Drosophila melanogaster: one gene and its partner. The gene in region 2 interacts genetically with the main gene of each other region. Each region holds a gene or a part of one and is shown on either strand. Other genes may lie near its edges. The genes, in order: SNF4Agamma and Invadolysin.

The links.
Region 1: of Invadolysin (region 2) and SNF4Agamma, changing one enhances a phenotype caused by changing the other (phenotypic enhancement), as found in Drosophila melanogaster (one study listed by BioGRID).

What each region holds. Positions count from the first base shown.
Region 1 is NT_033777.3:21,154,354-21,159,501, forward strand, and holds the start of SNF4Agamma (SNF4/AMP-activated protein kinase gamma subunit), read left to right. Parts: upstream 1-2,008; 5' UTR 2,009-2,058; intron 2,059-3,084; exon of another isoform or gene 3,085-3,143; 5' UTR 3,144-3,304; intron 3,305-4,884; exon of another isoform or gene 4,885-5,036; coding exon of another isoform or gene 5,037-5,148. Other genes in the region: cDIP (common Dpr-interacting protein), read right to left, coding at 5,037-5,148.
Region 2 is NT_033777.3:10,142,673-10,147,919, reverse strand, and holds the start of Invadolysin (invadolysin), read right to left. Parts: upstream 3,253-5,247; 5' UTR 2,520-3,252; coding exon 2,388-2,519; intron 1-2,387. Other genes in the region: CG42759 (uncharacterized protein), read right to left, coding at 4,566-4,690, 4,746-4,833; TAF1B (TATA box-binding protein-associated factor RNA polymerase I subunit B), read left to right, coding at 3,849-4,276, 4,332-4,452, 4,986-5,247. UniProt on the Drosophila melanogaster protein: Essential for the coordination of mitotic progression, and also plays a role in cell migration.

The DNA of each region.
Region 1 (5,148 bases), about 11 Mb from region 2:
CATTATGTAGTCTGCTTAGAGGCGTCAAGAAAGCCAAACTAAACTAGCGTGCAATGAGCCCGTAAAGTCAACTTTCCGACTGCCTCTGACCACTGCACAGTGGGGCGAAACTCGGATTACCAAGCCAAAAAAACCAACAGCGTTGAACTAAAGTCATTCCATAGAGCCAACGTGGCGTATTAGTAATGTTAGGAAATGTTAGCTGTAGTTGAGTTGAAACTATTAGTTAAAATTCGTTCAAGTAAAGTCTATATAAAATTAGGTATGTATAATGCAAGATATATAAATCAATGACCATTTGTTTTAATTGTTTTGATTGGTTAATTTTAGTGTTCATAAAAGCGTCTTTATATCTAAGTTTTGCTAAGTTTTTTATATTAGAGAATTTACGGAAAATGTTTTATATAGTTCCATCAAAGATCAATATACTCTAATGCCATTGGCTTAATTGAGTTTCAGTTGTTTTAGTCAAAGGAAACAAGAACTTTGCCACCTGTGCGCAATATTGATTTGATTTTTCTCACACTCCATTGCAGTTTTCGGCGAGGCCGACAAGGAAGCATCAGCCACAGGATGCAGAGCAGTGCCGGCGGAGCGTCGGGGGGCAGCAACTACGAGGACGTGGCCGCCGCCCGCCGAGGACGCTTCCGTGTCACCTCCTCCACGCCACAGGGCCCGCCCGAAACGACGCTCGGCCGCTTTCGTCTCATGCCCACGTGTAAGTTGATTTGGTACTTTTTCGCCTTTACAATTTGAGTTTATATAAAGTATACGACATTAATCATTACAGTTATGCTAATAGTAATTGATATCTTTTGGTCAAATTCTCGATAATAAATGCATGGTGCTGAATACTGACCCCTTCTTTCGCCTTTGCAGCTAATTATGGCGCCATTTCGCCAATCCTCCAGCGGGGTCGCTTCGCCGTGATTCCCGAAGAGCCCCAAGCCGGTTCCCCCGCATTGGGAACGCCTCCGCCGGGCGGCCGAACAGCGCGTTCTCCATCGCCCGAATGGGACTTCGACATCGAGCAGGTGAGTGTTCCCAGTTCCTCGGCTGGGATTGATTGATCGAGCTAGCAAAAAACCCTGAGCATCGAGGAAACTTATTTTCGAGAGTACTTCAAATGTATTTATTGCGTCCTTGGACCTATTTGGAATGGTCTAAATGAAGTTCGTGAATGGTGGCAAATTCATCGACTCCGATTTCAAGTATTTTGCTGTTTCTGGTGGCGTCATTGTGTGCTCCTCGGTGGCCTCTGTGCAATGCGCCATTTTTATTGATTTTTGTTGGCTTAGCTGAAGTTTCAAAGAGTTTGGGTGGGCTCCGAAAGTGTGAAAGGCATGCCAAGGCAACTGGTTATGATTATTTATGGGGCATAAAATCTAATTTCCAGCACTATGATGGAAATAGGAATATGCTTATGTACATAAGTTTAATTTTTTTTAGCTAAAGCTAGCTAAAGTTTTTTTTATAGCTTTTATAGCTTTTTTTATAAAAGCTAAAGTTTTTTTTATAGCTAAAATGTTTTCTATTTTGTATGTTCGGCGTGATTTACAGAGCGGAGCAATTTTTGCAATTCAAACTTATATCATTTTGGCGCCTAAAGCGGCGGTGCATGACAAAAACTGATTGCTATTGCGAACACGGTCCGATCTGGCAACGCGTTGTTTTTTAAGTGTGACCGCCGCCGGAAAGTAGCAAAGCGCATTTTATTTAAAATAACTTCTACGCAACTAAAGAATTCTCAATGATTCTTGTTTATTGAATAAATAAGTAGATATATGTGCGTATTTACTTACGCGAGTGGGCACTTAAGAATTTACTATTTAAATGCACATATTTCAGTAAAATTGCAAACAACGAGTTATAGAAAAATACTAAAACAACGTTACAGTTGTGGTCACGCTAATTCCAACTGGATTGTAAAAAGATCTCTAGCGATAACGATAGGCGAAGAGTAAGACCTTTTCTGCTGGATTTCGCAAACGATAACGATGACCACAATCGTGAGTTAGGTTGCGAACTTTGCTTGGTGAAAACGCAGCGGATTACGAGGTTGGGAAAAACTTTTAATTCGCGTTAAAAAACGGGAGTGCAGTGAAAAACAAAGCAAATTAAATGTTCTTAAATTCTTACTAATTTATAATAAATAATTTAATTGAGAGAAAATTCCGGCATGGTGTCAGGATAGCATGTCCGCGCCAGTGGGTGGCTTAGCCATAAAATTCTTCTGTGATAAGCTGCGTGAACAGCTTTTAATTGTGCGCGAATGGATTGCAGAAATTGCAGTGACAACAACGGCAACAACGGACAATCGATCTTTGTTCTTTTGAGTGCGCAAGTGAATTGTGAAACTTCTTTCTTGTTACACAAAACAATAGCCTCTAATCACTTTTCCTGCCCATGCATACACACACATGTGTGCATATGTACATCCCTATAAAAAATCAATAATCGGCGATCAGCTGTTACGCATACAAACAAACACATGGCGTCGCTGGAAAGAGCGACAGAAACGTTTTGGAAATTTTCCACGGACAAATACTTTTATTTGCCCAGATTTGCTATTCTTCTGTTTTTGTTCCTTGTGTCAGTTTCTAGCTGTGTTTCGCGCAGTAATGGTTTAGATTCTTAATAAAAAGTGGCAAACACAACAACGTCCTGCTGCTCCTCTTCTTCTTCTCACCCCTTCCATTGTCCGATCACTGCGTGTTCCAATTGGAAAGTCGAGTCCAAAGTGGAAGCGCGCGCCCGAATAAATTTTCATTTTGATTCTTGATTTTTATGGCTCGCATTCTTTGCTTTTATTAAGATCGATTCGGTTGTTGTTGCTGGTGTTTTCGTGTTTTGTGATTTATTTGGTGTTGAACCAAATGGCTGATAATTAGCCGAGTGAAATGAGTGCTGTAATCTAATCTGAAAAGTCAACACCTCGAAAGTGTTTGGACATCCAGCGAAAAGTCGTCATTATAATTTCGCTCTAATCTCTGAATATACACTCATAACATATATATAACATATAATGCGCCAACACAACCAGCTAATTCGTTACGTCTCTTCTTATTTACAATAATTTCTTAGCGCAGCTAAATGCCTAATCGCGAAATTGTTTACAAAAGTTTTGTTTTCCACCCGTTCAGGTGAACGTGAATGTGTGTTAGTGTGTACGTGAATGTGCGGATGTGTGTATGCGTTCCTGTGTCCGTGAAATTAATTTTTTAACCGAAATTCGACAATTGTGATTCTGCAATCTGCCAGCGCGAATCAGAAACATCCAATTACTGATAAAAACACACAAAAGGTGGGTGACAATTTATTTTCTTTTTATAATTATCGAAAACCTGATTTACTTCACTGCCTTTATTTTCTTTTTGTGTTGATATGAGCGCTTGACGTTTGATTTTCCCCGAAACTTTTCATCTGCCTTTTGTGTCGGTGACTAAGTTGAGTGGGTGGGAAATTCCCCCAGTTCGCGGCGACGCTGGGAAAATACCCAAAATCGCCCAAAATTTTTTCATAATTAGATTTTCAGAATGTGTAAACAATTTTATTAAATTTTTTTATATTTAGAAAACATTTAATAAAAGCGATCAATTATGTAATAGATAGTGTATAACAGTATCAATAACAGGAATAACAGTATTAAATCAGGCAATGTAAAATATAATAACATAAAACAATTCAAAGGGTCTTACCTGAATTCTTCATACGACTTTTTTTTGTCGAAACTCATTTGAAGTTATGGTTATAAAATCGTGAGTGGATTTCTTTAAATGTAAAAGTACCCTATCACGATGCCTACTACATTTTAGACATTGACTAATTAAGTAAGCACACTTCAAGCGAATGCCCAGAAATTAAAAAAAGATAGCTACTGAAGTTGGCAATCAGGAAATGTCGAACTTTGATCTGCGGATACAACTACTAGAAGTCGCAGATAGTCAGTCGCACTATATGGTAAAATTGAATGTTCGCACTTACAGCTGCCACGATTTGTGTGCCGCCAATTACCTTAAAACAAAAATTGCACTGCCAATGTAAACAAAACGTATTTGAAACTCGTGTTCGAATGGATATACATATGTATGTATGGATTTATTCCTAATCACATGCACACGATACTCCGGATCAGCAGATCGACCAGTGATCGTCGAGATCCGTGAAATTGGATTTGTTTCTACTTTCCGTCCTTACGAAGTGGCTGCACTGAAATCGAAACTGTTTGTTTATCTTAGCAATTAGTTAGCCATAAATGTGCGAGTAAGCGAATAGAAGGGATAAAGCATAAATAATTAAAACTGTTCGCATTAGCAGATGGCAATAAAATAACTCGGTTTCTGGTCCATTCGATCGAATTCAATATTGTTGTTTAGTTTCCGAAAATATTGGTTTTGTAATTGACTTGACTTTGTTCAATTCAACTCAAGTTCCCCGAGCCCCACCATCTTGTCTTCGCCCTCCAGTTTTCTTCTCGTTTTTCCATTTTGGTTCGCCAGCCCGAGTTGAACGAACCTCTTTCAATATCTTTCAGAAAAAGAACCCAACTTTGCTTTGCTCGAAAATCAATATTATTGTTTAAATATTATTCTACGTATACGACACAGCGAGCAATAAATATTTACTAGATGTGCTCATGTTGCAAATTGTATTGGTTTTTTGGGGTTGAGTATGCAAAATCAGCAGGGAAATGGAGCAGAAATTGTTTTCGAGATTAGGAATTGAATAGGCGTAGAAAAAAATGATATTCTAGGAAACTAAATCTTAAACAAAGACGAAAAGCCTTCCTGTTTTGTTAGATTATGGTTCCAACTTTGTATATTATCAAGAACTGGTAAAAAAAACATACACGCGAATTCTTTAGTGGAATTCTTCCAACAATTTAAAAAATGATTTATTTATTGGATCGAAAGATTTTATGTTTAAAATTAAGAAGCTTTAGGAAATACTTCAAATATTAATTATAATGTATACATATAATTGTAAAGCTTTGAAAATGTAGTGATCACATAAAAAATGGGCCATATTTAACAACTTCAAACGGACAAGGTCACTTGACTCCAAACAGTTTTGTTGAGCACTTCAAAGGCCTGAATTTGTTCATTCAATTGGGCCAGTTTACTGAATATCAAATCGAACTTGGAATCA
Region 2 (5,247 bases):
CATCGAGAAGGACGCTTCAAACTTTGCTGAATAACTTCTTGTTGGTTGCTGTCCGGATCGTTTTGTTGCATCGTAACTTGCTTGTTTAAAGTTTGCTTTCGACAAGTTGATAAATATTTAATCGTGATGCGGCTGAGGCAGAAATGCAGAAGTATAGTATGGATATACTGCTATCCACTTAATATGTAAATGGAAATACATATGTACATGCAGATGCTTGCAACACACATTGTCGATATGAATGCATTTGCATTCGTGTTTATAGTTACCTAGGGAGTTTCATTAATATAGAAACATGTGTAACTTCGTCATATCAAATCAGCACCTGTTTTGATTGTACTGGAAAATGTTAGCATCACGCTTTGATTAAGTTCTTTTCAGTTTAGCTCGTGAATCAAAAAGCTTTTCATCCTGAATGGAGATTCCCTGCAGCTCAGTTTGCTAAGCCAAAAGATAATTTAATTTAATGGCAGTTTTTCTGAAGTTAAGTGTGCGTTTATCGTATTAGAAGGTCAATACAGTCCGCGACATCGCTGACAGGCGCGCACGCACGCTGGCAACGTGACAAATGGTTTAATTTGGCGAATTTTACACATTGCTGCAGTTGTTCTCGCAATTGCTGACAGCCGCGTTCTTCAATTTATATAACACTAATTAGAATCGAGTACTTCGGTTTCAGCTGGACCGCTATTTAATTGAATGGATGTTCCATACGGATGTGAACATATATGTATGTACCATTGGTTCGTTCGCCATACATATATTTATGTCTTTATCCTCCTCTACAAACACTGCTCCTGTCAGGATGATTTTCAGTGGCCAGACAGCAGGACATTCCGTGCGCAGAGAGACACATAATCTGGACGACGGTTTTTTGCATTTACAACAGTTTAAGTTACAGATAATTCAATTAATTACACGCTGGGCGACCTCGACAGCATCGTTAGCCATCAACAGACAGTCGCTGAATTAATTCATTTCCCTGCCATTCCAATTCACTTTTACTGGCTTGAAAACAAAGTAGTTACTCGCTAATTAAAACTTTAGCGTTTGCACAGATTTTTCATACATATATTGTGTTTTATATTGTTAACGAATGAAAAAGTTCTGTGTCCCCTGGTGAGTTTGAAAATAGGATGCATCCTGCCAATGTTTGCAAAAAGCTTATGTATCTTTTGTGCAAACTACACTATAGTTGCTTTTAGCTGCCACACCATATACAGCTGTGTATTAATTTCGTTCTCCACAAGTGCATATATTTGAAAAGTTATAAAACACCTGGGAAATGCATATTTCCGAGAACATTTTATGTTCGATTATACTGCAGTTGCAACCACGGAGGACAGACTGTACCCGCCTCGATACAGTAATCATGTAAATTTCCCCTTTTTGCGCAATTGAAGGCGACCTTTATTTATGGCGACGCGCCAATTAAATCGCCGTTGATTGGAAAGCAGTAAAGTGCAGGCGAAAAACTTCCAAAGACACAAAAACAAAAGCCCGACGGAATGCAGATCCCGAGCAACAAGTTGGCGGGCAGCGTCTGACATTAAACCCTAACTAGATCACTGGATGTGGATGTCGATGTGGTGCAGATGGAGGCGGTTTGGTAACCACGATGGTGGGTTACACGTTATGAGCTACCTGTTAATATGCAGCCCCACCACCTGACTGACAAACTAAACCACATTGCATTGACTGACTGACTGAATCTCGAATGCGCATATTATTAGCCAGCGGAATTAGTCAATAAGCTGTGGTTGCCACCAACCATCGCTAGATGTTTATTGTTTCAGTTTTTTGCCGCTGTTTCTATGGCAGAATTATGAGAATGGCAATTTCAGGGCTCCTCTTAAATCGGCACTAATTAGGCCTGCCTTTTTCATGCCAAAGCCCAATCAATTATAAATTTTCGACGAGCACAGTTTGCACCAATTATGAAATTTCTCTAATGAGCACGAAGGACAATCTGCCCAAATGGCCGAAGCAGAAACAAACAAGAAACTCGAGCATTGAAATTTCCGAAGTTGCGATTTTCCAGCTGATTTAAACTTTAAGGACTCTTTCTTTTGAAATTACCAAACCATCTTCATACCTTATACTATCTTGTAATCTAGCTATCTAGCATGAAAAATCTTAGCTAGTTGCAAGACTAAAAAAAAAAAGACTAATATTAATGTAGTTGGGATTGTAAATATTTGGCACACGTGTGCGGGTGAGCACTTAAAGATTCCGTGTTCCCAAAATAGCCCTTTCCCGGATATTATTTGTTTTATTTGCAAGAAAGGGCGGAGTAAGAGAAGAAGGCCAATTCAACCCAATACCATAGAGTCCAATCCAATTCAATCCAATCCCTTCATTTTTGGAGCCAAACGAACGCAACTCACCTCGTGGGCCTTTGGATGCTGGTGTTGGCAGTTGTGAGCGGTGGCCGAAACGAGGAGCCAAGAGCAGATGCCGAGGGCTGCCAGGAATTTGGCCATGTTACCGTGGGGGCGGAGCGGGGGCGTTTTGGCCATGGTGTTTTACTTCGGGGTGGAATATCGCCGTGGATATTATAGAGTACTCAGCATTGTAGCGGTGATCCTTTTCATTGTCAGGATTAGTGTGATTTTTGTTTAATTATCACTTGACTTCGAACACCCATATCTGCACTTAAAATTCTTTGTTTATTTTCCTCTTTGGTTTGCTTATGTTTGCTGCTTTTCCGCCGTTTGCTTTGTCAATTAACTCGCGAAAACCGGCTCGATTCGAATCCCTTTCCTCTCACTCGCACACATAAACAACTCGCACACACACGTACATACGCACACACAGAGACACTCAATTATTGGGGCCTTTGGACTACTTTTTGTTTTTGTTTTCGGGTGGGTGTGTCCCAATCTCAGCCCACGCCAAAAAAATGTGCATAAAACTACAGCAAACTACAAACTGCAGTTAGCCGCAAAAGGAGGAACAAACTCGCACTTAAATGTCAAATTCTCATGAACTGTCCGTGCAGCGAGAGCATTCTGTAGGACTCACTGCCATACCCGACACAGTGGGCACTCAATAAGCGCATTCGTCGAGCCTTTTCATTCAGCAAAACCATAAAAACACTCGCGCGAAAAGGGGGCGTTTGGGTACCGGCGGGGGTGGTTGGCACGAACAACAAACTTAGAGAGACGCGAGTCGAATCGTCCGACAACGACGTTAACGTTCGCCAGCCGATTTTGTTTTGAATCGAGTCTCTATACATATGCATAAGTACATGGACACAAGGACAGAGTGGCCATTCAACGAAAACGAAAAACGCGTTCTTATGCTTTTCCGAATCTGGTAACACCTCTTATTAGCGCTAAAAAATTACGTTGCCTATCGATATTTCGAATCGACTTTTTTAAAAATCAAGCGTCAAGACATGGATAATTCAATTCTTACTGCTTATGGTCACACCAAAAAGATAACAGAAATGTTACGAGAGATTAGAGTTCAGTGATGGCTAACGTACAAGTGCATCTAACAGGTTGGCATAAAAAACAATAAAAAATACCCTTTACGCTTATTAGATTTTAATATATACTTTCAAAAAAAAACCGCTCTCTAAATTTTATATAAAAATAAAATTTTATTAAAATACCATGACTAAAAATATGTTACTTTGAACCAACTTTTATTTGCCGCCTTAATCTAGTGATGTACGTTTTCATAGAAGAAACGGACGATATATCGAATCAATCGAAGAACGGATGATATCGTTGTAAACATAGATCATTCCCCACCACTATCACATGCACGATTTGTGTACAACCGCGAGTTTGATTAATAATATAATTTAAATCTGATACCGTCAAGAGAAAGTCCCAAAAATGGAGGAAGTTCTCGAGACGATGCAGCTGGAGAACATGCACTGCGATGTGTGCGAGGGTACCACCTTCCAGGAGCGCGAGGGATTCTACTACTGCGTAGAGTGTGGCACACAGAAGGATCAGATTCGTGCAGTGGACATTACCGCCGAGGATAACTTTGATGACACGGCAGCAGGCCGATATACAGCCAGGACGATCCGACAGAAGAAGGATACGGAGAAGGAGGATGAGGACGATATCACCTCGTGGGAATTCTACAACTACGTGCTGCGCGGCTTCCTCCAGGAGCTGCTCAACATGGGCGCCAAGCCGGAGCTCAAACTGATGACCCTGCAAGTGTGGGCGGCTTACTTGGACAGCATGGAGGTGGCCTTCAGCAAGAGCAACAAGACGGGACTGCCTAAACTGAATGTGCGGGCGCTGCCCATGTGGGTTCTTGCATTCTCCTAAAATTTCTTATTTTTAAATTCCGAATTCTTTCAGAGATGCCCGCATCATCTACAACCATAAGACATTCAAGAAAGGCAAAAAGGGCAAGAAGAGCACTCTAACGGGTGACCCAAATGACGAGCGCGCCAAGTTCAGATTGTGGAACAGAACTAAGGTAGTTTATTAGCCGCTGGTAGTCGGTATAAAGGGCAAGAAGAGCACTCTAACGGGTGACCCAAATGACGAGCGCGCCAAGTTCAGATTGTGGAACAGAACTAAGGTAGTTTATTAGCCGCTGGTAGTCGGTATATAGAATTGGTTAGGAAACAGCAGGGGCAGCAGCAGGAAAAGGGTCCGTTGGTAGTCATTATACATGGGTTTTGCTGTATTTATCTCCTGTACTGGATTAGAATCTGTGGCGAATATGTTGGATGAACAATAAGCGTTAGGATTAGTTTATCTAATTACTTTCAGTGACTTCTGGAGCTCCGGGAACAGGTTGTCCGTAGGCCAATGCCAGGATGGCCACGCCAATTAGAACCAGACGCATGGACATATTTGCAACGACACACTTTACCAAATTGCTGCTGACTTGAACACGTTCGTCTTTTATAGCTCCACAAGCTATATAAATGACATAGTTAGCCTATTCATTAGTGATGTTTACTCAGATGCGACTGTAACACCTTGATCCCATTCCTTTTGCAGCGCAATCTAGACGCCTCCGGCTACCGCTCGCACGGAGGAGCTTCAGAGTCCGAAGGGGAGCAGAGTCTCCACCTGCAATGGTCAATGCGTGCACGCAAGTCCTTGAAGCGCCATATGCCGCTGAAGCACCTGGACAAGCATAGCCGCGACAGCAAGGGTAGTATGTCGTGCCACAGCTTGAGACCGAGGGTCAAGCAGCTCCACAATTTTGATCGTAACATCTACTGCCTGAATATTATCAAGTTGTATGTGGTGCTGGGCA